Linked DNA regions of Sus scrofa. The protein of the gene in region 1 interacts with the protein of each later gene in a pairwise test. Links are inferred from orthologs where the notes say so. Each region holds a gene or a part of one and is shown in the gene's direction. Other genes may lie near its edges. The genes, in order: ENKD1, PDLIM7, CCDC102B, UBXN11, MKRN3, PNMA2 and BEGAIN.

Region 1 (3,969 bases):
AGCCCCACATGCAGAGAGGGAAGGTAAGAAAGGAAAGATGTGGTCAGGGAATTACAGGAAGCCACTAAAGAGTTTTAAGGCAGCTGGGGCAAGAGGAACAGGGTGCTAGAGGGGGAGCAACACCCTCAGGGGTTCAGATGTGTATGTAGCAGAATCATCAGGTTGGTGGGGCAAGGGACCCCCAGCAGGGAGACTAGTGAGCTCTCACCTGGAGATGAGAGTGTCCCAGGCAAGGAGGCTGACTGGGGTTCAAGGGATCTTGGACTGAGAGGGTAGATTCACCTGCCATGATGTCTGATTAGCTGGTAGGAGTCAGCCAAACGCAGGATGGCATCGGAGTGACACGGAGATTTTGGCTTGAACAATTGTATAGATGAGATACTGGAGGAAAAGCAGGTTGGAAGGAGGAGAAATTCATGTAATTTGGAATTACGTGTGTTTAAGGTGTGTGAGGGACATGCAAGAGGACCAGGAGGCGGCAGGCAAGGGGGGGTGGTTTCCAAAAACGGCCAGCACTGGAGACCCCTGAGGGCAAGACACAGGGCTCCAGAAAGAATGTCCACCTCCACCACCCACTGCCTGCCAGGAAAAGGCATCAGTACCTCTGTCACCAGGGGCCACTCTGGGGGCAACATCTGGTCCAGTTATGATCTGCCAGCAAATGGGAAGCATTCCCGAGCTGTCACTCTTCGGATGGGCAAATGAACTCTGCCACCTCAGGGGAGGATCTCAAGTGCTGGTCCCCAAGGTCAGACAGTGCCAGCCCCTTCCCTGAAGACAGGAAGCAAAGCCAAGCGCTTGCTTCCCATGACAGTCCCTTTCCTTTCTCTGCCCCAAGTTCTTCCTTACCACCTCCCTCTCCAACCCCACTGTTATCTTGTCTGGTTCATCTAAAGAGGCTTTAAATGCACAGAATCAAGCCCCTAACCTGAACCCCTGCAGAATGTGATACATTTAGGTCTAGGGCAGTGCCCAGGAATCTCTGTTTCTGTCAAGTTGACTGCACTGGGGAGTCCTCCACCCTTCTTCCCATCCTCTCCCTCTTCAGGCATCTCAGCTGGGGAGTCACAGTCTGAGAAAACGAAAAAGGTTTATTTGTAGCATATCCAACGTCACTGGTGGGGGCAGGAGCCAAATGCCCCCCTCCACCTAAGGGCCTAGGCCCATAAGCTGCTGCTCTGGTTCAGGCTTGAGAGGAAGGGAGCTACCACTGGGGCAGGACATTCACTTGTACTGAGGAGAGAGTGGGGGTACTAGTGGGGCAGCGCAGACACTTAGCATCTTGTTGATGTCCACATGAGTTGACTTGTCTACCTCAGCTTTGAGATGACTGCTGACCCCCAAGCTGGGCAAACCACCAGACTCCTCTCCAGCTTCCTCTCCCAGGGGAACCAGAGGGTGAGCAGGGCACACAAACATATTGGGGCAGGGCAAAGTGAGGCCTGGGCCCAGCTCACCTGCCATGGGCAGCAAGGCCTGCAGTTGCTCCACACCTGCCTCCTCGGGGACCAGGGTCAGCTCCACCTCAGGCTCCACCTCAGCCTCAGCCTCCCTGTCCCCTTCCCCTGCCTGGTTCAGCTCAGGGTTGCAATAGTTGATGTACTGGTACAGGGGCCGCAGGCGCTGGGCCTTTCCTGCAAGGACCCAGAGCAGGGCAGGGGCTGGAGCATCAAGCCGTACCATGTCAGGGGTCCAGCAGGCAGGTGGAAAAGGGAAGGCCCAGGGACTGCCACTCACGCTCCAGCCCCAAGGTCTCTGAAGGCACAGACACTGTGCTGGCTACCACTGGGAGCACTGGGGTCCCTAGACTCTTGCGCTTCTTGGCTTTTTTGTGCTGTTTGGCAGACGGTGAGGGCTCACTCTGGCTATTTTCCAGCTCCTCCTTCTGCAGCAGCAGCCCTTGTGGCAGCTCAGCTTCAGCCCTAAGATGGGCTTGGTGGCTGGATCCTGGGAGACTGGGGGACAAGGAGACCTGAGGAGTCAGCCTTCAGGCTTAGCTCTTGCCCCCTGAGCCTAAGAAATAGCCCTTCCTGCCTATCACCCCAGGCCTAGATTCTTGTCCCTTTCCTGGCCAGTAAGGCCCTGGGCTGAAAGGGGCCAAAAGCTCATGTGAGCTCAGTCCCCTCCAAGGCCTTGAGACTCCCTCTCTGGATGATCCCTTCATCAGGGCACTTGAGGGACAGCAGAGGTGAGGAGTGATGGTGGTGGCCAGGGATGGATAAGGAAGCACACTACAGGAATGCCCAATTGAGGATTTTTTTTTTCCTGCAACCACAGCATGTGGAAACTCCCAGGCAAAGGATTGAACTTATGCTGCAGCTGCAGCCTGATCCACAGCTGCAGCAACACCAGATCCTTAAGCTGCTGTGCCACACGGGAACTTAATGATTAGGAATCTTACTAGGGTGATAGCCACCTTCACTCTCCACCTCCCACCCCCAGCCCTGCAGCTCCTTCCTTCTGAAGGTCCCCTCACTTGACAGGCTTCCTCTTCGGACCATGATTGGGCTTCACAATGGAGGTTATAGGCCTGGGGCCTCTCTCCTCTAGTGCCTCTGCTACTGGCTTGAGCCTCTTTTCCTCCATCTTGAGTCTTTCCTCCAGGAGCTCTGGCTCTGAGACTGCTCCTGTTGGACACTTGTCTTCACCCTGGGTCTGGCAGGCCACAAGGGCTGGCTCCAGGCACTGGTCTCCCATCACTGGACACTAGAAGTGACACATAGGTAATTGGTCACCACGACCAGGCAAAGGGTAAAGGGATCAGTCATTAAACATCAAACACAGATGAGGGCACCATCCCATGCCCTTCCCAGGCTATGGAGCCTGTCCTGGCAATTAGGGAGGGGGTCGTTGCACAGAGTTGGTCTCCTAAAGCGCTGTGCCCAAGTGTTTGAGGGCTACACAGCCTAATGGTCAACTCAGAATTCTGAGCGTAGCCAGTGGGCACCTCAGTGAGCTGTGCCAGCCCCACAGCCGTCTTTTCCTGGGTCCCTGGCCGCCTCTCATCCCCTGCTGAAGCCATTGCTCAGGGGATCAGAGCATCCTCGACGGTTGCTTGGAAGGTGGGGTGGGTGGGAGGTGGAAGGCGGGCCCCGAGGGAGTCAGACTGGCAGACTCAGAGCTGATCTCAGAGAAGAGCTGGGTTGAGAAGAGCAACTGGCAGCCGTTCTGCCCCACGCTCAGCTGGAACTACAAGCCCCAGAAGGCTTTGCGCCAGGGGGCATTGGCCCCTGACCTCAGGGAAGGAAACCACCGTTACCTGGCAACAGCAAACCCATCGGGTGGCAGCTGAGGGCGGTAAAACTGCTTGGGTGAGCCCCCGCCCGGGTGTTGCGGAAGAGGGGCCGCTAACCCCGCTGGGAAGTGATTTTGTGAGTAGGGGGTGTCCTGCGCAGGCCGGGGTCGGGAGGCGGGGCGGGGGCCGGGAATGGAGGGCACAGCCGGAGTCAGGGCCCGGGTCCAGGGAGGAAGCACAGGGCTGAGAAAGGGGTTCCCCAGCCGGAGATACGTGCGCGGTTGCAGGGCGACGACGGCGGCATGTGTGAGGGTCCGTCCGGCATCTCGGGGCCTATCCCCCCAGACCCTACGCTCTGCCCTGACTACTACCGGCGGCCGGCCTCGGGTGAGTGGAGGAGTGCCGCAGCCTGGCGAGGGTCGGGCTCAGCTCTATCACTGAGCCCTGCACTCCGCCCCGTCTGGCCTCTCAGCCCAAGGGCGCCTTGAGGGAAACGCGCTGAAGTTGGACCTGCTAACCTGGAACCCAGACCTAGAAGTCACCCCTCCCAGCGGCCCCCGCATGGGTCCCGGAGCCCGAGAAATTCTGGAGCGTGGCCGGCGCGGCGTGAGTGGCATGCTGCTGCAGCTCGAGGGTATCTCCCTAGGCCCAGGGGCCTCTCCCAAGCGTAAGTTCTGGGCAGAAGGGACCTCTAGGTGAGTTTGAGGTCACAGCTGAGGTCAAAAGCAGCTGCT
Region 2 (4,105 bases), on another chromosome or scaffold:
AGGGAGGTGGGGAAAATGAAAGTTTAAATTAGGAAGTAACTGGAATTCCTGTTGTGGCCTTGCTGTGGCTGTGGCATAGGCCGGCGGCTATAGCCTGGGAACTTCCATATGCCCCTGGGTGCAGCCCTATAATGAGAAAAGGCCAAAAAAAAAAAAAAAAAAAAAGTGAAAATTCTTACAGTTTATATTATGAGGGGAATGATGCAGAATAGGGGGAAATGTAATGATGATGGTGGAGGTAGGAGAGTAGCCACAGCCATGCCCTAGAAGGAGGTGAGGGGTGGATGCCCATCCTGATCCCTGGTCAATTTCCTCCCACTGCGCTAGCATTGGGGCTGTGGGGTCTGTGAAACCCCCACTGGAGGCGCTGCCCACTCTGGAGTGGGGTACCAGGACTATCTCGACAGTTTGGGGGTCAGCCCTAAACCTTCGGAGGGTCAGGGGGTAGGAGTGAGGGCAGGGCATAGGGTCGGGGCGGAGCCAAAGGCCTTTATACCTCTGTCTGCTGCCTTTGGTGGAGTGTTCTGCAAACTTAACTGTAAGCTCCCCCTGTGTCGACCTCAACTAACCCCACCTCCAAGGTTCACCCCCTCCCTCTTCCAGACCAAGTCTGTCCGATTTAGATATTCCTTTTGTGTGTGTGTCTTTGTGTGTCTTTTTGCCTTTTCTAGAGCCGCTCGCCGCAGGAGCGGCATTATGGAGATTCCCGGGCTAGGGGTCTAATCGGAGCCATAGCCACTGGTCAGAGTCACAGCAACGTGGGATCCAAGCCGCGTCTGCGACCTGCACCACAGCTCACGGCAACGCCGGATACTTAACCCGCTGAGCAAGGCCAGGGATCAAATTTGTTAACCACTGCGCCACGACGGGAACTCCCGATTTAGATATTCTTGAGCTATCAATGGCTGTGCCTTACGCCAAACTATGCCTATCTTCACGGTGGCCTGTGAGGCGAGTATTACTGTCCCACTTTCCCAGTAGGAAACTAGGGTTTAGAGATGACTCAGGTCCAGATCTGCCTGGTTTGCTTGGTGACTTGCTTTTCACTCGGCCAGAGGGAGGCGCAAGGGGCTGGGCGAGCCGCGGGTTGGGCTGTCCAGCAGCCCAGACCCCCCCACACCCTACCCAGGCCCCGCCCCATTAAGGGGACCAGGGAGAGCCTTGCCTTACAGCGCAAAGAGAGACCGGACTTCGTGATTGGGCGGTACGGAAGGATTCGGCGGGGCTTCCTACTGCCTGGGAGACTGCTCATGGGCTCAACTTTTGACGGAGGCGTGGCCACAGGCCACGCCCCCTCCAGCGGGCTCATAACTGATGTCTGCGGCGGGGGCGGGGCCAGAACGCGGGCGGCGGATCCCAGCGCGGCTCTCTGGAGCCCGCTGCTGAGCAGCGCCCCGGAGGGGCCGAGCAGGTACAGGCGACTGTGCGGGGCGTTTCGGGCTGGGCCAGGCGGGGGGGCAGAGGCCTGTTAGGGGCCACAGCGGGCACTAGGGGTCGTGGCCAAAGCTGCGCTTCCTCCGGCGTGCGGGAGCCGCTACCCCCGCCCCCGCCTTCCTGAGGCGAAGCCGGCTGCGGCGGGGCCGATTGGCGCCTGCGCCGCTTCCTGCCCCCGGGACTCGGCCAATGCATGGGGCCGGGGCGGGGAACCAGGGGGAAACCGAGTCACGTCAGGAGGGTAGGCCTGTGGGGGAGGCATCACCCCCACTGAACTCTAGGATGAATTCCCTTCCTGGCCACGCTTTGAAGTCCCAGTCCCCACCGACCTACGCAGGGGCCGCGCACCCGCCCAGTTCCCCCAGCGCTCAGGGGTCTCGCCCTGGGTCACGGCAGCTTCGACTAGTCCGGGAATGGCTAGTACCCGCTCCAGCCGCCTCCCCCCCTTCCCCTCCCCCTCGCGTCCCGAGCCCCCGTGTGTTCCCTCCGTTGGCTCTCCGCACAGTGTCAGCTTACACGCCTTATATAGTCCGAGCAGGCTCCAGCCGTGGCCTGCCTGCCGGGACCTGGGGGCGGGGGAAAGGAGGAACGCCGGCCCCGGACTGGCCTTGCCGTCTAGTTCCAGGCTCAAGGATGGCTTGGGGGGAAGCCAGAGCCAAATTAGCCCTGCGATCCACTCCTGGATGAAAAGAATCTCAAGGCTGGATTCGGGCTCCCCTCACCCACCCTGTCCCTTGGGGAAGGGGGGTTGCCGCTGCCTTTCCAAAGTGAAGTCTGCCAGCTAGCAGCCCAGCCAAACTTAACAAGTTACCCTCCTACCCTTGCCCTGGGTGTGCTCAGCGTCTGCTCGTGCCTTCCTGGCACTAGTCCAAGCCTGATGTCCAGAGCTAGGCCTGCCTGTGTACCCACCATGCCAGCTGCTCACCTTTTCTCTCCTCTCAGGAGCGGCACCATGGATTCCTTCAAGGTGGTGCTGGAGGGGCCAGCACCTTGGGGCTTCCGGCTGCAGGGGGGCAAGGACTTCAATGTGCCCCTCTCCATCTCCCGGGTGAGCCTAGATTGAGGGAGGGGCTCCCCCAGGGGTCTTGGGGTGCTCAGATCTCCAGTGGGTGACAGAAAGAGCCTGAACAGGAGTGAGCCACGGCCGGTAGGCCAGGAGGTGCCCAGGTCCAGATATGTGGGCACTGCCACGAAGACTACCAACCTAACTAGGGAGATACTAGGAGAGGAGCCCCCACACTTCCCTAGCACTGCACTGTACCTGATGCTGTTCCACGAAGCTCCTGTGGCCACCTCCAAGGCCCAGGGGGATGCCCATTCTGAGGTCTCCAGGAAGTGTCTAAGCTCCTTGAGAGAGCAATGCTTGGAGCTAGGCCCCAGGCAGGGCTCTCTGACTGCAGGATCTCACTTCATTCTCACTGCCACCCAGGGAATAGCAACTGTCATCCTGTTTTTCCAGATGAGCTAACTCAGGACTCGGAGAGGTGAAAGGGCTCCTTCAGCAACTCCGTGGCAAAACAGGGATTGGAATTCAGCCACAGGGATGGCCAGCAGTCTGTGTGTGTGAGGGGTGCCTCTCCCCGGCCTGTGTGAGGACCTTCCATCCCATCCACTGGTCCCATTCAGGATGGAGTGGGCTTTGACCCCAAGCAGGGGTTGGGATGGGTCTCTAGGACTCTGACTTCAGCTTCTGAGATCCTGTCCTGGTGGGGGTGGAGCTAGGGGCCGGCTCCTCCCTGTGGCAGGGGGATTGCCTTATAAGCCCAAGAATGCAGCCCCACGCAGGGATGGCCAACTGGTGGCTGGAGTCTGCAGGGCTGAAAAAGGCTGGTCTGGGCCTGGACCCCTGACCACATCAGTGGGCCCCTCAGCTCATCGCCCCCAGGCTGTGGCTCTAGCCATGGGATCGGCCGTGGGACATGTAAAACAAGCTGCCTGCCCTGAGAGAGAGTCCAGCCCTTGGGCTGGTATCTCTCACTGTGGTGGGGGGTGGAGGGTGGGTTCAGGAGGAGGTGGGGACTTCCTGCTCCCATATCCGCTTATCCAGAGAGACCCACCCAGGCTCCTGGTGGGCAGGCAGCTATTGGCAGGAAGCCCAGGGCAAGCACAGCCTAGAGGGGGCCGGAGGGTTGTCCAGCCGCAGCTGAGCTCAAGGGGGCCCCAAAGCAGAGTCTGTCGGAATTGGGCTTGGTGGCCAGAACAGCTAGGCTGTCACTGTTCTCAGGGATCCTACCCTGGGAGCTGCGCTGCCGGAAGGGTAGCTAAGGGCAGTGATCTCCCTACCACATATACCCACCCTGTACACAATTCTCGAGTCTCTCCAGCCCTGGAAACCTCCCCCTGTATACCCCTTCCCTGGGAAAGTGCTAGCCAGTGTGACTGGGTAGCTGTAGGCCTTGGCTTGGCCTCTGAGCCTCAGTTTCTTCCTTGGTGAGGATGGGCAACAAAGTAGCCTAGGGGATGGACTTTCAGATGTGGCCTGCTGGGGGCACCCTGAGCCCAGGCTCCCTTGTCAGCAGGCCTAGCATGTGGGTGGGGCCACCAGCTGAGCCCAGCCCTGGAGTTGGACCTAGGCCCTGGTGGGTGGGCGGGTGTGTAGGGTGGTCTTTTCTGAGCTGGGCCCGCCCTCTCTCCCTCTACCCTGACCCCAGCGTGGAGTGGGGAGGGAGGG
Region 3 (3,500 bases), on another chromosome or scaffold:
GATAAATTTCAGTTTAATATACTGAAATAAATTTCCTATCTTCATTTTGAAATTTCAACAAAAAGAAATATGTTATTAAGTAGTGAAATATGTAAATATAAATATATAATATTTGGTATGCTTCTAATTAAGAGTTTCTCTTTTTTAAAATACTGGTCTTGGTTTACTAGTGGTCTGAGAAATTTGGTCAGTATATTATTATTGTCACTGAATTACAGTAAATGAAAGGAATAATTGCTCCAAGTCAGCACTAGTTCAAATATGATTTGACATAAACTAATGTTAACAAAAATAATTACAACCATGAATCTATATTATTATATTAAGTATTATAATGAGTGAATTGGTTTGACATCCCTACAGAACACTTACTAAAATGTGTTTTTCCACAGCTGAAAGTGGTATACATTTAATATTATATGGTCTTTTTTCAGTCAATAGCAGTTAACTTAGTTGGTATAATGAAACCCCTTCAGTAGATTAAATGGATGGTTCATAAAAAGACAATTTATGATCTGTAACTCTATAAAAGGAAATGGAAAAAAAATGGGAGTAGTTAATATCATGAAGGTAAAATGTTATCTAAGATCATTTACACCAGAAACTCTTTGATAATAAAAATGGGTAATCTTATACAACCACAGAACTTTATTAATTTGTAGATTAACCTGCATGTTTTGAGAATTTATTTTAAAGAAAATGTTCCACTTGCTAATCCTCAATATAGTTATGTTGCTATATTGAATAAAGTGATGGATGTACATACTGATAAGAAAGGTTTGCATTTACCAATTAATTTGTCTTTGCTATTTATATGGAAAGCTGCTTTTAATTCCTTTTTAAAGCTCTGGAATTACTGAGACTCTTTTCAGTGTTGTCTGTGAAGCTACTTTGTTTCTCTAAAACAGTTCATCACTTCTTTAGCAGTACCCCTTAGTGTATCTTGTACACACCAGTGATATGCCTGTCTCATTCACTGGCCTACGAAATCTTTAAGGACACAGATCATGTCTTATTCATAATATTTTATTTTTAGAACTTAAAATACTAACCACAGTAGGAAGTTAATTTATGTGTCAGATGTCATTTTGACAGCAAGTTACAGAAAACTCAACAGTCATAGCTTAAATAAATTTAGGTAATCATTCTCACACAGCAAGGAAACCAGGGGTATGGATTCTATCTTTCAGGCAGCAGCTCCATCATTACACAAAGCTTTTTTCATTCTTCTGTTTCACTATTTTTAATGTTACAGGGTGGCTGTTACATTTACCTTCTTGCAGAATCTTGTCTTTGATCAGGCAGGAGGAGAGCAGAAATAAAAGTGTTTCTCAGTCTGATGATTTCACATTTTTCTGAATGGGAGACTTCTCTAGCAGACTTCCCCTGACCTCTCATCAGTCCGAACCAGGTCACATGCTGCTTTAAACCTATTTATTATCTATTAGGAATGATGAATTAAATGGAGGTTATCCGAAAGGTTTAGACCAATCATAATTTAGCCCCTGGGATTGGAATAGGAGCTTATCCTTCCAAAGATCAATAGATTCTGCCTTCTACCTGAACAAATTGGGCTTTAGTTAGCAGGGGAAAAGGGACCATTGAGAAGTTAATGGACAATATATGTTGCAATAAATATTACCTGAAAAGAACTGGATATGTTGAAATGAATTATTCATGTCCTATGCTATCCCCCGCTGCATCTTTATATATTATTTGTATTTATTTGGCAAATTTAAATAGGAGAAATCTCTGTTTCTTTGAGGGTAATTACAAATGCAGAAATTCCTCTATATTTTTAGCTACAATGGGAAGGGAAATATACAATATTGAAAAAGACACATTGTTTTCATCAACTTCCTTTTTTAAATGTCGGTCTTGCTCTTATAATTGCAGGGGAAATTCGAATGCAATTATGTTCTCTGTCTTTTCTTAGGCCTGAAAAGATAAATATGAATTTAGATTCCATTCGTCGGTTAATTGAGGAAACACAAATCTTCCAGAGGCAGCAGTCATCAGTTAAACCAGCATGTGACCTGGTGGTGCCTGCCTCATCCCCCAGGGACACCTGTGGTCCCTATTTGCCACTTTATGGGCTGCAATCTCATGCCTATCACAACGTCTGTGCTCACTCATGCAACAGTAATGAATGGGATATTTGTGAGGAGCTTCGACTGCGGGAACTGGAGGAGGTCAAGGCCAGAGCTGCTCAGATGGAGAAGACCATGCGGTGGTGGTCAGACTGCACTGCCAACTGGAGAGAAAAGTGGAGTAAAGTTCGAGCTGAAAGGAACAGTGCCAGGGAGGAAGCAAGACAACTCAGGATAAAATTAGAGATGACCATGAAGGAACTGAGTACTCTGAAAAGGAAGCAAAATTTGTCACCTCAAAAGGAGGCTTTGGAAGCTAGAGTTATTCAGGACCTTAAGCTTCCTGGTTTCAGAGATGTGTCCTCTACACAGAGAGACTCAATTCAAATTGGTTCCAAAACCTGTGAGTCCATCAGAGAGTGTTTGGGAAAAAGAGAATTTCCTACCAAGGAGAACACAAAGAGTAAGGTCAGAAAAAATCCAGAGGAATCCAGAGATTTTTTGAATGCTATAGACAGTAATGAGGAGGGAAAGGAAAATAGCAAAACCAGTGGTTACTGTGTTTGTTTGTGTGGGCTGCCAGAACTAACTGCCCACAGACTGGGGGACTTCAGCAACAGAAATTCATTTTCTCAGAGTTCTAGAGGCTAGAAGTCTGAGGTGGGTCAAGGTGTCAGCAGGGCTAGTTTCCTTGGAGGCCTGTCTCCTTGGCTTACAGATAGCTGTCTTCTCCCTGTGTCTCCATATTGTCTTTGTGCATCTTTGTCCAGATTTCTTCTTCTTTTGTGGATGCCATCACTAGGCCCACACTAATTAAGCTCATCTTAACTTAATTACCTCTTAAAGACCCTATCTCCAAACACAGTCACATCCTGAGATATTTGGAGGGGGTTGGGACCTTAACATATGAATTTTAGGGGAGACACAAGTCAGCCTATGTTACTCATACTTTTAGCCAAAATTAACCCAGCATTTTTTAATGTTAAAAGAAAATATTTATGGAGATTTCTCTCCATTTACTCTAGTAAACCATTACTAAGAAATTATCCGTACAGTAGTTTAAACCTTTCCTGAAGGTTGGGACTCTGTCCTCACAATTAATCACTCAAAGATAGGTAACTTAGGCAAATATCTTTAGGGACTGCTTCACACTACCTACTCTTGGAATTTCTTGGTATACTTGAATCTTGAAGTTTCTGAGATTTCTGCACACAATAAAAAATTTTAAAACTTTAATCTAGCAGTTCATACACTTATCTATCAATGAAACACCCCTCCTCCCATATATATATATCTACAACTCATGGAATATACATTTGGAAACTAGGAATTTGTGTTCGCTCTTCAAGTAGAATTAGTTTATATTATTACCTCTTTCTAGTTAATTCTACCTCTACAACCATAAATCAA
Region 4 (3,500 bases), about 55 Mb from region 1:
AAGACCGCAACTAATCCACGAGCATGTGGGTTCCATCCCTGGCCTCGCTCAGTGGGTTAAGGATCTGGCGTTGCTGTGAGCTGTGTGGTGTAGGCTGCAGACATGGCTCAGGTCCTGTGTGGCTGTGGCTGTGGTGGAGGCTGGCAGCTACAACTCCGATTCCACCCCTGGCCTGGGAACTTCCATATTCTGCACCTGCAGTCCTAAAAAAGAAAAAAAAGTTTTCCTGTGGCAAAGGGGCTGTGAGGCCAGCCCTAGAGGGGCCACATGTGAGTGGACATGTCCCCTCAGACCTGCCAAGTGGGGTGTCCCTGCCCCTCCTGCTTCTCAGGCCAGACCCACCTGCCTTCAGCGAGCTCCTGCTTGTGCCAGGCCCGGTACTAAGTACATGACATGAATTATCTTAGTCTTCCTCACAAGCTTCATTTCACAAGGAGCCTGAGGCTCTAGGCAGCGAAATGGCTTCCCAAGGTCACAGCCAGGAAGTGGTTCAAGACCCTGGGGCCCATCCCCCCGATCCAGTCAGCTTTGGGAGCCCAGGCTGGAGGCTGGGCTGGTGCTGCCTTTTCCCCTGGAAGGGGCTGAGCTGACAGGGCCCTGGACACCTCCCTTCTCTCTCCCCGCAGCGGTTCCTTGGGGACTACGGCCTGCAGTGGGTGGGTGAGCCCGTGGACCAAGAGGACTCTGAGGATAACGAGAGGGACTGGATGACAGCCAAGAAGTTCTGGAAGCCAGGTAGAGTCAGGGTCTACCCCAGCGCCCCCTGCAAAGGGATTTGTCCAGCAGCTTCTGATGGTGCCCAGCTGTCCAGAGGCCATCTCATTCACGCCCCTCCTCCCAGCACGAGGAGGTGCCCCGAGGCCTCCCACGCTTTGCCACTGACACAGGGACAGGAGGGAAAGGCCTCAGCTTTCATCACTGAGCACCTAACCTAGACTCTGTTTGCTCACCTTTCTAAGGCTCCGGGGACCCAGAGATACAAGATGTAACAAGATCTCATTTGTCTCAGGCACCACAGTTCACAGAACATCCCCCCTCCCAAAGCTGTGGCCTTTGAAAGCAGTCCCTCTGCTTTGGAAGTGTCCTGTGGTCCCAGGGCTTGGCCTCCTCTTCGGACTCTTTTTCCAGGTTCCCTTACAGCAAACTATTGAAATCTACCTGCTTTTATGGGACGCCATCCCCTTTTATTCCTAAGTCGAGTGCTGATATCCAGAGGGATGCACTCCAGAGATTTGGGCCCATAGAACTGGCCCCTTCTGAAAGCCGGGTCCATTCTCCACAAAGAATGGAGGTCATTGCCCTGAAGGTTCTTCTCTGGGCTCTGGAGATGGTCACGGCTGGGTCCTCATTGCCACTCTACCCCCAGGCGTGACTTGACTCGGGTTCTGTTCTCTGAGCCTCCAGGTCCTCTCCAATAGATGGGGGTGTGTTCTCGCCCACGCTGGGCTGGACGCAGCACCTCCCGCTGACCTTGCATGCCTTCAGCCCCACGAGTGGGAGCTCTCATTGGTCTCCACAGTCAGAGGCAGTGACAGTCCCGTGGGAACATGAGCGTGGCTCCCGGGCTGACTCTTTGGAAGATGATGGCACTCTCTTGGTTTCACAAGTTTCCAGCAGGGTAAAAACCGAAACCGAAAACATGGGAGTCCCACCTTTGGCCGGATCCCCCTAAATCTCCAGGCACAACCCTCTCATCCTTGTTCCAAAAACATTACTTCCCATTTGGACCACACTTAACTTCCTTTAAAGCATTTTCATAAATAGTCTTGACATGAGCTGGGGTTATTCCATTTTACAGATGTGGAAACTGAGGCACTTAAGACGTCCGAAGCCTGTTGAGTGGAGGGGGCAAGGCTTAAGGCTGAGAGCCCATTGGGAGGTGGTTACAATCATCTGGGCAGAAGATGAGATGATGCCCAGCATAGGGTGATACTGGTGGGGCTGGTGAGCAGGGGCAGAGCAGAGAGATTTATTGGAGATCGCTTGTTCATTAGGGAGGGGGCAGGAGGAACCTGGGCTGACCCTGGGGAGCACGAGTGGGGGGACGATGCTGAGTCCACTTGGGACATAGCAAAGCTGGGGGAGCTTGGTGGCACCTGGGTCATGCCCGGAGCTGAACCCTGGGCTGAGTCCTATGGGAAGTTCTCCAGGGACACCTGCCCAGATGAGAGGCCAGACCCTGGCAGGTGACTGCCAGAAGCTGTAAGAATGTCTGTTCCTGGGCTCTAGGGCCAAAGGCCTGCCAGCACTGCCCCTCCCCTCCCCTCCTTGTCCCTGAGCTGGGCTCAGGCCTCCTTGTTGGAGGAGAGTCATCCTCTTGGCCGGAGGGGGCTGCCCTGCCCCTTTGGGGAAGGAGTCAGACCAGACAGCTGCTTTCTGGTCCTGGCTCTGTGGATTCCTACCCTCTCCCTCCAAAACAGAGCAGCCCCCCTCCCCCCGGCTCTGTGCTTTACACACAGAGTACGGCCAGCTCAGAAGCCACTTGTAAAAGCCACCCAGCCACAAGCTCCCTCTGTGTGTCGTCTTCCTTCTTTTGCTTTTTGATTCTTCCACACGGAGGGACCTTGATTTCACTCTCCTACCCGATGAACAACATGTTTTTCACTTCCAGCAGCTTTTCCTCCTGGAACCCTCCCACGCTCTTCCCTTCCTTTCCCCATGGCCTGGTCCCCAGCTGCTAGACTGCTCCCGCCCCAAGGACCCTTGGGCCCATGGAGGTAGCCTCTGGCTGGCCCTGATGCTCTGGCTCCTTTCTTTGGCTCTCCCTCTGTTGGGTACCACTTCCCACAGGCCCTGGGGCAGCAGGCCAGGGGATAGGTGAGCTGGGGCGTCTGTATTGGGCAAACTGGGGCTGATTCTAATGTTCTGGAGCCCGGGAGTCCTATCTTAAGGAGGAGGCCCCTGCAGGGGCCCAGGGGAGAGGAAGCTCAGCCCCTCCCACCCTTCCACCAGCGGGGTGAACATCAAATCGGGTGCCGGGTGCCAGGTGCCTCAGGGTACACGCAGACCTGAAAGGGCGGCTCTGCTCTGGCCATGCTACTTTCAGGTCAGATGTTGCTCTGGCCATACCACTTTCAAGTCAGGTGTCGAGCCTCAAGGCTGAAAGCTCCTGCCAACTTTGAGCTCCTGACCCCTCTTCCCCATCCTCTCTGACCTCCTCACCTCCCTTCCCCCATCCCCTCTGTGCTTCCCTCCCCTCCCCCATCAAGTTCCTGCCCTCCTTCTCCATCACCCTCCCCTGAGTCCCCCCACCTCCCCCAGCCCTTTCCCCCAGGCCCAGGCTCCTGCCTCTTCCTTCCACTGCTCAGGATGCTACCCTGACCCCTCTGTGGGCTGTAGCTGGCTTCACTTGTCCCTGGGCTGCCCTTGAGCCCCTGGGACTGGCCTGGCCTGGACCCCTGGCAGGATTAGCTCCTTCCAGCTGCATTCCCATTAGCTCCAGCCTGTGCTGTGTCCCCTGGGTGCCTTGTCCCCTTTCCTCCCCTCCTTTGGAGCTCAGC
Region 5 (4,164 bases), on another chromosome or scaffold:
TTTCTTGATAAATTTCACAAGAAATTTATCAATTTCAATAATCATTACAGAAGATTTTGATTAATTTCCCCTACTTCATGTTTGTTTCTCTTTAATGAATTTATCTTTATTATTTGCTTTGCTTCTAATTTCTGTGCTATATTAAGGCTTTCTTACACTTAAAAATATAAATTTAGACCATAAATTCCCTCCAAGAAACTTGTTTAAGCAAATGAAATCCAATAATATATAAAATTATAATAAATCATACCACAAAAAGGTTTTTCTTGGAATAAAAAATGGTAAGTTAAACAGTTAAAACCTAGCAGTGCAAATAATCACAACAACAAGACAGGGAGAAAATAATATGATAACCTCTCAAAAAAATGCAGAATACTACATGATAAAATTCAGTAGCCATCCATAAATATGCTTTATATTTGAGAATTTACTTTTTTAACCAATATAATAAAATGCACTTGCAAAATTAAGAGGTACCGCTTACAGGGCATAGAATATGCTATGAAAGGCTGGTCTAACACAATACCACACAAAAAAGGATGAAAGAAGGGGAAACAAAGAGCCACTGTGAGTCAAATTAGCAAGAGAAAATAAAGGCTAGGGTCACAAAGGGCACAGGGGCTAATTAAGCCAGCATCAAGCCCACTGAAGTCTGCTGCTTCTGCACAGAGGGAGGGAAGCATTAGAAATCACAATAACCTAAGACAGCTGACAGGCACTAAAGCAGTCACAGATCACAAACGCTCCCTGCTAATGTCTCACAGGGGAAAAAACGTTTCCAACAAAAGCCGGTAAGAATTTCCAGAAAACAAAGAGCAGTCTCAAGTCTTTTCAACACAACTAAAGGGATTAAAGCTGCTAGCAGGGAAAGTCAGGAAACCCATAAATAAACATGACAAAAAATACGACCCACACAGACATAAAATGGAGTGAACAAACAAAGCATTTATAAAATTTATGCACGAGATGTTTCAGAAACAAGACACCCTTTTAAACATACGGGGCTTTAAAACAAACGAGGATTAGACGCTTTAAAGAGAGATGTATGAAAAAGCATTCAAATCACAGTGTCGGAAGGAACAATGGAAGCGATTGAATTAAAACCTCAAAAGGCTGGGATTCCTTTCCCCAGGAGAGACGCGGGGGAGCAGGGGCTGCGTGCAGAGAAGCGGAGACGCTGCTTGAGCCGAAAGCGGGCAGCGCTGCTGGCTGCGAACAAAGAAGGAAGCCGGTCAGCATTCCTGACGGACCGATCGGACCGATCGTGCAGAAGTGATGTAGGACCGATGTTGCCTCCACAGGAAGTGTCCGGCGCTGCCAGAGAAGGAAGTAGGAACACAATTACAGGAAGTAGGGACCGGGGGAAGCAGAAAATAGATGCACACTTCCTAAAAATCAGCCCCGAGCTAGCGCCCGGCCTCCGGGCCTCAAGGCTGACACAAGGAGACACCGGGGTAGTTCCGGTACCATTTCTGGGGAGCAGAAGCTGCCATGGAAGAGCCTGCAGCTCCCACAGAACCCTACGAGGCAGCTGGGACATTTGGGGACATCGAGGCAGCCGGGGAGATCAAGCCTTGGCCCACCCTTCCGGTGCCTCCCACCTCCCGGTGGTCTCCGGCTCCAGGCCCAGCCCCCTTCCGTCCGTCACGTGTGAGGCCCGCCCAGGAGTCAGGGGGAGGGGCTGGGCCCAGATGGCTGCCGGGCCGGAGCAGTGGCAGCTGGACAAAGGAAGTGGTCTGCAGGTATTATCTGCATGCTCAGTGCAAGGAGGGGGAGAACTGTCGATACTCCCATGACCTCTCAGGGCGGCAGGTGGCCAGGGAGGGCCCCGGTTCACCACCCCCAGCCTCCACAGACAGTGGCCCCAGCGCGGCTGCGCACGCCGAGGCCCTGCCTCAGGAAGTGGCGGAAGCCCCCCCGGCTGTGTCCTCACGCTCTTTTCCTCTGATTGGCTCTGCTGAGAGGGTTTTCTTTGAAGCCGAGACTGAATATGCAGGCCTTGAAGCTGCGGGAGGAGCAGGTGCGGAAGGCTGGGAGCATGCCATTGAGTTTGTTCCCGGGCAACCGTACCAAGGCCGCATGGCCCCTCCTATCTACGTGGCTCCTCCACAGGGCTTGCTGACTGTGAGGGAGCAGTTTGCCTTGGGCCAGAGGCAGCAGCTTTGCCGCGATGCTATCATGGGGCAATGCTTTCGTGGGCCAAGCTGTATGTATCTTCATGGAGATATGTGCGATTTGTGTGGGCTGAAGGTCTTGCACCCCTTTGATGGTGCTCAGAGGGCAGACCATAGAAGGGCCTGCATGGAAGCACATGAGCAGAATATGGAGCTCTCGTTTGCCGTGCAGCGCAGTGCGGACAAAGTGTGTGGCATCTGCATGGAGGTGGTCTATGAGAAAGCCAACCGGAATGATTGCCGCTTTGGCATCCTCTCCAGCTGCAACCACACCTACTGCCTTAAGTGTATCCGCAGGTGGAGGAGTGCCAGACAGTTTGGGACCTGGGTCGTCAAGTCCTGCCCCCAGTGCAGAGTCATCTCCACCTTTGTCATTCCCAGTGAATTCTGGGTGGAGGAGGAGGAAGAGAAGCAGAGACTTATTCAGCAGTACCTGGAGGCAATGAGCCACAAGCCCTGCAGGTATTTTGTAAGAGGCAGGTTCTGCCCATTTGAAGAGAACTGTTTTTACAAACATGCCTTCCCTGAGGGCCAGGGAGAGGAGCCCCAGAGGCAGGGTGCTGGGGCACCCGGTCCTTGGCGTGGTCAACTTTTGGAGCCTCCGCAGGTGGGAGAGGGCGACATGCCCTTTAAAAGCTGTAAAAAAGAGCTTGTCATGCTTTGGCTGGCCAATCTGTTGTGTCAGTGTTTTCTTTCATGGGGAGCTAATGAGCTCCCCTGCTCAGAGACCCAGTGGGACTTGCTTCATTGTGAGCTGGAAGAATATTTCAATTTGAATCTGTGGCATTCTGTGGCATGTTGTATGGTGTGCTGAGGCTCTGTCATCTGCTCTTGCCTGTGTTGTGTTTATAGACACATCTGTCACTTACAGAAGCTGCTGAAACCATTTGTTTAGAGCATCCATCTCTGTTTTCTTGCCCATTCCCATTTCTTTGCCCCTAGGGTTATGGTGTTTCACTGTGCTAAAAAGTCACAAAACATCCTTAAAGTTATTGTTTGGTGAAATTAATATGACTGTCAGTTTATGGTTTATTTTGTCATCTCTGTTTTCAACAGGATTGACTCAGTTCTAGTCTAGTGTTTACAGAATGTCCACACTCATTTTGAAGCCCCTCAAGAATAAATGTGACAGGGTGAAGGGAGAAGTCTTAACTGAACAAGGAGCTTTTTGCTACTTCAGCCTTAAGAAATCGACCCTGGAGGGGCCTTGTGGTGCAACTGCTTATCTCTGTTGTTTACACATTTGTTGCTTCTCATCCCTTTCAAGTGCACTCTTTAACTTGTGGTTACCTTGTGGTTTTGTGTTTTACTTGACCAGAACCAAGTGCATATGTTTACATGTTTTTATCCTGTTTAGCTTGATGTGAAATTATTTATATTTGGAAGTAATATTTAAGAATTATATATATGCATATTAATGTGTGTGAAAGCGATATATTTGAGGATAAATATAAAAGATATACACCATTTTATTATGTTTATGTAGTACATACAGAGCTAGAAGCTGAAAGTTAAAGGCTGATAAGATTTGATGTTGGGTGAATGTGAGGTGTGTGAATAATTCTGTCCTTTTCACAGGCTTCTGTGATTAGCATCTAATGAAAGCAGCTATTTCAGTGTCTCTAGCCAATTGTGATCATAAAGAATTTACAAAATACCAACATTGGTAATTCCTGTGATGGAATTAATAGCTTACCCTGCTGTTACCAATATAGAAATGTGAGTTCCTGTGCAGTTTAGACACCATCTCATTATTCTTTATAACAGCACAATCCTGGACTCAGATACACATTCTTTGTATTCAGTATTTTGTGTGATCTCTAGATATTCCAAAGAAGGGGCTTGTGACAAAAGTTTGCAACATAAAAGCGACAAGATTGTAAAAGATAAAGTAGACTAATAAGCATATTGAAATCAGTCAGAATGCAAGCATGGAAAGATAAAAAAATACAGAAAAGTAACAAAAGCTAAGTATGATAGTAATTTGGAA
Region 6 (4,138 bases), on another chromosome or scaffold:
GACGAGATAGATTCTCGCTTGCAGTCCGAGGAGGCGCTGACCATGGTCCTGGCCTCCGAGCTCGGGATGCGAGAGCGGAGGACGACAGAGGGGATGCGCTGGAAGTGTACGCAGGGCGCGGCGGGGAGCTGTCGTCTAGGCCCCCGCCCCTCCCGACCCCCGGGGAACCCGCCGGCCTTCACGCGAACCCTCCACTGCACGCTCTGAGCTGCATCAAAAAAGGGTGGGGCAGCCAGACACAGCTGCAATCGGAAGCTGCCCGGGAGGATTTAAGAAGAATGGAACCTCGGCCCATCCCCTCCCCCTCCAACCAAGAGACCCCCCAGCCGGGGATAGGCCCATCCTTTACCCCTACCCCCACCACCCAGGCCCAGGGAAGCGCGGGGAGCCTTTGTGGGCGCACAGCCGCCCACCGCCCAGCCCGAGCTTCTCCGAACCCTGCACGGAGAAGGGGCGGGTAGGGTGGGGTGCTTGTGCACATGCAGGGAAGCGATATTCGAGGTGGGGCAGGACGGTGGGCACGCTGGGATCCTCGGCTTTTCACCGAGCTGGAAGGGGCGCGAGGGAGGGGCGAGCCCCACGCTCCGTCCTGTCTCGAACACCTCCGCCCCTCCTCCATACCAACCTGGTCGTTGATGTTCTGCAGGGCTTCCTTACCGGAGGCCCGCCGGATCTCCACCTTCCGGCCCGATTCAACAGATGGCTCCCCGCCGGCGCGCCGACCCTGCCGGGAGTACGGCGGCTGCGGGTCCGGGCCCAAGTGGGCGACGTCCCGCTGCTGAGCCACCACCTGCCCCGAGCCCCGGCCCACCGACAGCGAGTCGAAGTCGATGGTCTTGTTCTCCGAGGACCCTTCCACCGGGCAGAACATGCCACAGAATTTCTGTCGAGGCTTGGGGCTACCGGAGCCCAGGTTTTTAAAAAAGGCAGGGACCTCTTCGTCCTCTGCCGCCTTCCCGGATTGCTTCCTCTCTGCCATGGCTTGGGGGCTTGGGGAGTGTCCTCTCTGTCCGTTCTTTCCTCAGCGGGTCCCTAAGTCTGCCTGTCTCTGTGCAAAAATCCCCCCCGGCTGCTGCCTCGGCTGCTGCTCTCTGCCTACCGCAAGGTGTACAGAAAGGAACGAGGGCTGGCGAGCGAGCGACCCACCCCTCCCGGTCCCTCCCCCTGACCCCGCTTTCTCCCCTCCCTGCCCACGCCCCCCGCAGCCTCGCGAGCTCCCGCGAGCGGCAAAGTTGGGGTTGGGAGGGTGGCCGCTGCGGCAGCAAGAACCGAGAGGCTGCCAGTTACCAGCAGCGGCGGGAGGTGGGGGGAGGCGCGGGCGGGGCGGGGGCGGGGCGCGGCGCTGGGGAGGGGAGCTCAGCGCTGGGGAAGCTGGGGAGGGCCGCGCCGCCCAGACCCCACGCTCCGGAAGTGAAGCGGCCAGACCCCCGGCTAATGGATGCGGAGCAGAAAGCCCGCTGACCGCTCTCGGCCCCAGGGTAAGTATGGGGCAGGGCACGCTGGGGCGAAGATCCGAGGGCGCCATCCCAGGCCCCCGCTCCCCTCTCCCCGAACTGCCCGGCCCAGGCACCTCTCTCCCACCGCAATGCAGAGCTGGCCCAGGGGCGAGGGCCCACTGTGTGGAGGGTTCCCTCCCCCTTACCCGAGTGCGAGCTAATGGATAGGAAAAGGGGCAGAAACTGGTAGACTCAGGACACTCAGCGGGAAGGTAAGGGGCGGCACTCAGGACGGAGAAAGGATGGCGCAGGCTGCGCAGAGTGGTGGGGGCCATATAGGGCGCGGTCTATCCATTGGCCTTGGTGGGCTACTGGGAGCAGAGATTGAAACAAGTTCCTCATTTACTATACCCACTGTGGTGGGGGGCGCGCAGCGTGGCGGAGAGAAATGCAGAGAGGCATAGCAAATGCGGAGGAAGTCGGTATATATAGAGAGAGACATAGGTCCACGGTCTGTGGGAGTGTAGCAAAGAGTGTAGTCTGCAAATTCCAGCCCAGCGCGGCAACTTGGATGTATAGTGAGAGAGGGAGCAGACCGCTACACTGGCGCGCCGTATACCGTAATTGCGCCACAGCGCCAAGAAAAGCCCAGCAGAATGCATCTTCCCCCGCCCCCAACCCGGCAAAGAAGGGAGAAAGACATTCTTTGAAGCCCACTCCCCAAATCTCCAGCCCTACCCAGCGCCCAGGGCGCCCCGCCTCATTTCCCCGCCCTGCTGCGCACTGCGCCAGAACCACGGGGTTTCCTAGGTTGCCAGAAGCCTCGTGCCTGAGGCCTTCTTGCGCGCGCGGCCAGTGCAGGGTAAGGAGATGGGGTGCCAGCTGTGATGAGTGAAGAACTGTGTGAAATCCAGCAGGAGAATGAGGTATGGGGACATGGTGTGCATGCGCCAGTAGACTAGCCACAGCCACCACCGGTTTAGTGGGCATCCAGAGGGCATTTTAATGTATGCCAGTAACACAGTCTCTGAGGGCTCTTTATTACTTACACCTATCCCTCTGTCCTTTCCACGTCTCAGTCCCTGCCCATGATTGATTACAGCCCTGCCTTTCTCTCTTCAGTGGCAAAATCCTGCAGAAATGATGCCCATCCTTTGGCTGCTGGAGAAGGAGCTCTGGGCATGCTCACTAAGCTGGGTGGGTTGGACTGGAAAACACTCTACCATAGGAGTGTCGTTGCTGGGCAGAGTAACCAAAGATCCGATCCCATTGTCATCCCTCACCCCTGGAAGGGTTAAATGTGGATACCCTGCCTCTCCCAATTGTGATGGATAGTTTGGTAAATGGAGTTAAATTCTGAGGACAACCAGTCCCAGTTTGAAGATAAGCCCACCATGATAGGTGGGAAGGCATCTGGGGATGAGAAGGAGAGGAGGAGGGAGGAGAGAGGAATTTACATGTGCAGGGGATGAGAGAACCAGAGGCAGGCATTTGGACTGAGCACCAGATGTGCTTCACATTTGAATAAAATGCTTCCACACGAATCACGCCATTTCCTACTGCCAGCAGCCCCCTGAGATGAGTGTTTCATTGTCACCACTTCCCAGGATTCCAGGGTAGAAAACAGATGTAGAGGCTTTGCCCAAGGTAACTGTCTAGTTAAATGATCCAGCAATTCCAGTGAGGTCTTCCACCTGGAAGTCTGGTTCCTTTTTGACCTTATCCTGTCTTTATAGGAGAAAGGACAAGATTTTCACATTTTCCCCTATATTCAAATATTTCCATCTGTGGCTTTATTGTGTGTCAGGAATGTTTCACTCGCCTTTTATTTTTATTTTTTATTTTTTTTAACTTGAAGGTAGGTTGCATTGCAGGTAGAGACTGGTTTTGGAAGAAGAAGACACCCAAAGATAGCCTAACTTCAGCATGACCATTATTATGTAGACCTTAGAGCTGTTTCTTCCTGGGTACCCAGTGTCTTTTTCCACCTTATGTTTCCTCTATTGCAACAGGGAGGAAGGTCACTCCCACGTCTTAGAAGAGGAACAGGAGGCATGATGAAGTCCCTGGGTTCAGATCCCTGGGGCTGCAGGGCAAGGACGTGATCCAGCATTTTGCCCTTCTGACCCTCTGGCACATGCCCCACTTTCAGCACCTTCCAGAAGGACTCAGGAAATGTGCCTGCAGCAAGAACAGCTGCCACTGTAGCTGCAGGTTGGCATCTGTGGCATATGGACCCCATTTGGAGTGATGGAGATTTTTAGGGAAAAAATAGTTGTGGCACCTTAACACACACTCCACGATGCATGACAGCAACGGGATGATAGACAGTCTTCCCTTTTTACATTATTCAGTCTCCACCGGCTCACCACAGATGTGCCTCCTCGATTTTTCTTTGTCCTCAAATCACCCATTCAAGTTCAGATGCTATGAAGAAAGCATCATGTTACTAATGAAACATTTATAGCAAGAAAGGCCCCTACTTGTGCATTTTCAAAACCTGACCAGGCATAACCATAGGGAATTCATAATTCCAAGTTTAACTTATTTGGTTCTACAAGTTTTTTCTAATTGTTAAACCTATATTAAATTTTACCTATAATGTTATATTAAAGTGTATTATATGTTATATTTTATACCTGTGTTCAGTTGGTTTTAAATGTTTGAGTGATTTCTGATTGGATTTTTTAATCAAAGAAATG
Region 7 (2,975 bases), on another chromosome or scaffold:
CCCAGAGACCCTAGGGCTGGAAGAGCACCCTTGGGGGTGGCCCAGGAGGGGCCCGAGTCAGAGCCTGGCTCCAGCCTCCATGCTCTGTGGGGCCCTTTCCGAGCGGCCTGGGGTGGGTGGCGGTGGCCTGGCCCCTTCCGGGAGCATCCTGGGCGTGGGCTGCAGCTGGTGGGGTGTGAGAGGCCCTGGGCAGGTCCCCGTCCGTCCGTCCGTCTGTCTGTCTGTCTGGCGGTCCGTCTCTGCTGCCAGTCCCGGGCTGACCGTGACCCCTGTCCCCCGCCTCCTTGCGCCCTGACCCCCCCGCAGCTGCCCTCTGAGTTCCAGGAGCGCATGAGCCTGAGCATGGACAAGCCCAGCTGCAGCCTGCCCTCCCCGCTCTGCCGCCCGGCCTACGCCGACAGCGTCCCGGCCTGCGTCATGGCCAAGGTGTTGGAGAAGCCCGACCAGGCCAGCCTGTCCTCCCGTCTGTCGGATGCCTCGGCCAGCGACCTGGGCTTCCGCGACGGGCTGGAGAAGCCGGGCTCCCGGCCCCCCTACAAGGGGGACCTCTACTGCAGCGACACGGCGCTCTACTGCCCGGAGGAGCGGCGGCATGACCGGCGGCCCAGCGTGGATGGGCCCGTGGCCGACGTGGGCTTCCTGCAGGCCCAGAATTCCACCGACAGCACGGCCGATGAGGAGGAGGAGGCCGAGGCGGCTGCCTACCCTGCGAGCTACCGGCACGAGGCCTTCCCGGGCTACGCGGCCTCACTGCCCACGTCCAGCTCCTACTCGAGCTTCAGCGCCACCTCGGAGGAGAAGGAGCACGCCCAGGCCAGCACGCTCACGGCCTCCCAGCAGGCCATCTACCTGAATAGCCGCGATGAGCTGTTCGGCCGCAAGCCGCCCGCGGCCTACGAGAGCAGCCCGCGCTATGCGGCTGCCGCCGCCGCCGCCGCCGCCGCGGTGGCCGCCCCGCTCGAGGCCGCGGTAGCCCCGGGGTACCCTCGGACTGTGTCCCCGTACCCGGCCGAGCCCTACCGCTTCCCGGCGCCCTCGGTCTCCCCAGGGCCCCAGCAGGCCCTGATGCCCCCTAATCTGTGGAACCTGCGGGCCAAGCCGGGGTCAGCCCGGCTGGTCGGGGAGGATGCGCGCGGCCAGTGGCGGCCCCTGAGCGTGGAGGACATCGGCGCCTACCCCTTTCAGGCCGCCGCCGCCGCCGCTGCAGCCGCTGCTGCAGCGGCCGCTGCCGCTGGCGCCGCTGGCGCCGCTGGCCGGGCCTCACCCTGCAACTTCAATGATCGTTATTTCGGGGGCGGGGCGGGAGGCTCCGGGGATAAGGCCGAGGGCCGCGCCAGCCCCCTCTATGCCAGCTACAAGGCTGACAGCTTCTCGGAGGGCGATGACCTCGCCCAGGGCCACCTGGCCGAGCCCCGCTTCCTCCGGGTGGCCGGCGAGCTGAGCCTCAGCCCTGGGCGCGCGGCCGACCCCCTGCCCAGCTATGCGGCCAGCGAGGGGGATCGGGAGAGGCTCGGGGTGCAGCTGTGCGGGGCGAGTGGCAGCCCCGAGCCCGAGCACAGCCCCCGTAGCTCCAGGGATTCCCTGGAGCCCAGCTCCATGGAGGCTTCCCCGGAGATGCACCCCTCCGCCCGCCTCAGCCCCCAGCCGGCCTTCCCTCGGGCTGGCGGCTCGGGGCTCAGCCGCAAGGACAGTCTCACTAAAGCCCAGCTCTATGGGACCCTGCTCAACTAAGCGCCCGCGTGCAGGCCTCAGCCACGGCCACCCCCGCGCACACACGTCCCGGGTCCCCAGGGGTGCAGCCTCGCCTCCCCAACACCCAGCTCCCCGGCCCTGCAAACAAGGACCCCTCTCCACCTAGCCCAGTCGAGCCTGAGAGGGGGACCCCCAGCCCACGTGTCTCGTCCGCCCCCGTGGCACCGTGGTAGAACGTTCTTTGACCTACCGCTATCCTTCCCCGGCTGCGATGAGCTTTCCCTGCTTTTGTAACGTGCACCTCTTTCTACAGTGCAGAAGCGTCTTTCTTCACGCACTGGGCCTCCAGCTCTCTGGACGGCGGCCTTGGCGTTGCCAGCGCAAAGCTCCTTGACTTTCCGGCGAGGGCGAGATGGGCCTGCCCCTTGGAGGGAAGGACGGTGTCCGGCCGAGACACCCCAGCAAGCCAGTGACAAGGGAACCCCAAAGCTCTGCCCACGAAGAGGGGAACCGAAATGGGTGAAGGGATGAGAGACGTTTCCAGCTATTCTTGCGTGTGGCCCGCCCCCGTCCCCCCCAGCTCTCCCGTGGTCTGTAGTCCCGAGTGGGGCCGGTGCTCGTCCCCCAGTGTCCCGCTCCCTGGCACCACCTCGCTCTACCTCAGATGCAATGAGGCCCCCCGACCCCCGGTTTCCGTGGCTTGCTTTCCTGTTGTCTGTGATGCATGCCCTGTCTCAGTACTGTATTTTGCACTCAGTAATTAAAGTCATCAGTGGAAAGAAATCGGGTTTTGGTGGTTCCTTCTCCCTACCGCCGTTCGATCTCGGGAAGTGTGGCCCTGGGGGTCTCCGGCGTCCCGCCCTCTCTGTGGCCGGCGGGGCGGGCTTCTGACCGCCACACTCCTCCCCCAACTCCCAGACACCCAGTCTCCCCTGCTCATCGTCACCACTGCCCTCCGTTCCTGACGCTCCCCCAGACCCCCTTTCTCTCCTCCTCGCGTCCTCAGGCTGTCTTCCTTCCTAAGATTCCTCAGGATGGCCTCTCGTTCAGCTTCGCTGCTGACAAACGCTCCTGGGTTTTCCCCCCTCTGAAGATGTCTTTATTTTGCCTGAAGGCTACTCTCACCAGGGAGAATGTCAGCAGGGGGCTCTTCCCCTTCCCCCACCCCACCCCCACACACAGAGATGTCCGCTGGCTTCCTGTTGGGGTGGGGCTTGCCCTCAGTCCCTCCCAGAGCTCTTCGTGGTGCCAACCTGTCTTTTTCTCTCCAGCTGCTTAAGATT

What was found.
Region 2: the proteins of ENKD1 (region 1) and PDLIM7 interact in binary tests that used the Homo sapiens proteins (3 or more experiments, as listed by UniProt). The two-hybrid records come from large-scale screens. The link is inferred for Sus scrofa from reciprocal best matches to the Homo sapiens genes ENKD1 and PDLIM7.
Region 3: the proteins of ENKD1 (region 1) and CCDC102B interact in binary tests that used the Homo sapiens proteins (3 or more experiments, as listed by UniProt). The two-hybrid records come from large-scale screens. The link is inferred for Sus scrofa from reciprocal best matches to the Homo sapiens genes ENKD1 and CCDC102B.
Region 4: the proteins of ENKD1 (region 1) and UBXN11 interact in binary tests that used the Homo sapiens proteins (3 or more experiments, as listed by UniProt). The two-hybrid records come from large-scale screens. The link is inferred for Sus scrofa from reciprocal best matches to the Homo sapiens genes ENKD1 and UBXN11.
Region 5: the proteins of ENKD1 (region 1) and MKRN3 interact in binary tests that used the Homo sapiens proteins (3 or more experiments, as listed by UniProt). The two-hybrid records come from large-scale screens. The link is inferred for Sus scrofa from reciprocal best matches to the Homo sapiens genes ENKD1 and MKRN3.
Region 6: the proteins of ENKD1 (region 1) and PNMA2 interact in binary tests that used the Homo sapiens proteins (3 or more experiments, as listed by UniProt). The two-hybrid records come from large-scale screens. The link is inferred for Sus scrofa from reciprocal best matches to the Homo sapiens genes ENKD1 and PNMA2.
Region 7: the proteins of ENKD1 (region 1) and BEGAIN interact in binary tests that used the Homo sapiens proteins (3 or more experiments, as listed by UniProt). The two-hybrid records come from large-scale screens. The link is inferred for Sus scrofa from reciprocal best matches to the Homo sapiens genes ENKD1 and BEGAIN.

What each region holds. Positions count from the first base shown.
Region 1 is NC_010448.4:28,286,467-28,290,435, reverse strand, and holds the start of ENKD1 (enkurin domain-containing protein 1), read left to right. Parts: upstream 1-1,169; 5' UTR 1,170-1,224; coding exon of another isoform or gene 1,225-1,634; 5' UTR 1,635-1,737; coding exon of another isoform or gene 1,738-1,972; 5' UTR 1,973-2,481; coding exon of another isoform or gene 2,482-2,708; 5' UTR 2,709-2,919; coding exon of another isoform or gene 2,920-3,022; 5' UTR 3,023-3,371; intron 3,372-3,377; exon of another isoform or gene 3,378-3,522; 5' UTR 3,523-3,537; coding exon 3,538-3,622; intron 3,623-3,707; coding exon 3,708-3,902; intron 3,903-3,969. Other genes in the region: C6H16orf86 (uncharacterized protein C16orf86 homolog), read right to left, coding at 1,225-1,634, 1,738-1,972, 2,482-2,708, 2,920-3,022. UniProt on the Homo sapiens protein: Microtubule-binding protein which regulates microtubule organization and stability. Promotes the stability of astral microtubules and facilitates the proper orientation of the mitotic spindle.
Region 2 is NC_010444.4:80,451,708-80,455,812, forward strand, and holds the start of PDLIM7 (PDZ and LIM domain protein 7), read left to right. Parts: upstream 1-1,305; 5' UTR 1,306-1,411; intron 1,412-2,376; 5' UTR 2,377-2,386; coding exon 2,387-2,482; exon of another isoform or gene 2,483-4,105. UniProt on the Homo sapiens protein: May function as a scaffold on which the coordinated assembly of proteins can occur. May play a role as an adapter that, via its PDZ domain, localizes LIM-binding proteins to actin filaments of both skeletal muscle and nonmuscle tissues.
Region 3 is NC_010443.5:153,888,097-153,891,596, reverse strand, and holds part of CCDC102B (coiled-coil domain-containing protein 102B), read left to right. Parts: intron 1-1,936; 5' UTR 1,937-1,952; coding exon 1,953-2,558; intron 2,559-3,500. UniProt on the Homo sapiens protein: During interphase, forms fibers at the proximal ends of centrioles to maintain centrosome cohesion. During mitosis, dissociates from the centrosome following phosphorylation to allow centrosome separation. Contributes to CROCC/rootletin filament formation.
Region 4 is NC_010448.4:83,697,516-83,701,015, reverse strand, and holds part of UBXN11 (UBX domain-containing protein 11), read left to right. Parts: intron 1-626; coding exon 627-735; intron 736-3,500. UniProt on the Homo sapiens protein: May be involved in the reorganization of actin cytoskeleton mediated by RND1, RND2 and RND3. Promotes RHOA activation mediated by GNA12 and GNA13.
Region 5 is NC_010443.5:142,498,169-142,502,332, reverse strand, and holds the start of MKRN3 (probable E3 ubiquitin-protein ligase makorin-3), read left to right. Parts: upstream 1-1,364; 5' UTR 1,365-1,491; coding exon 1,492-2,988; 3' UTR 2,989-4,164. UniProt on the Homo sapiens protein: E3 ubiquitin ligase catalyzing the covalent attachment of ubiquitin moieties onto substrate proteins.
Region 6 is NC_010456.5:10,425,590-10,429,727, reverse strand, and holds the start of PNMA2 (paraneoplastic antigen Ma2), read left to right. Parts: upstream 1-1,338; 5' UTR 1,339-1,478; intron 1,479-2,213; exon of another isoform or gene 2,214-2,362; intron 2,363-3,448; exon of another isoform or gene 3,449-3,650; intron 3,651-4,138. Other genes in the region: DPYSL2 (dihydropyrimidinase-related protein 2), read right to left, coding at 626-979.
Region 7 is NC_010449.5:121,389,054-121,392,028, reverse strand, and holds the end of BEGAIN (brain-enriched guanylate kinase-associated protein), read left to right. Parts: intron 1-306; coding exon 307-1,731; 3' UTR 1,732-2,475; downstream 2,476-2,975. UniProt on the Homo sapiens protein: May sustain the structure of the postsynaptic density (PSD).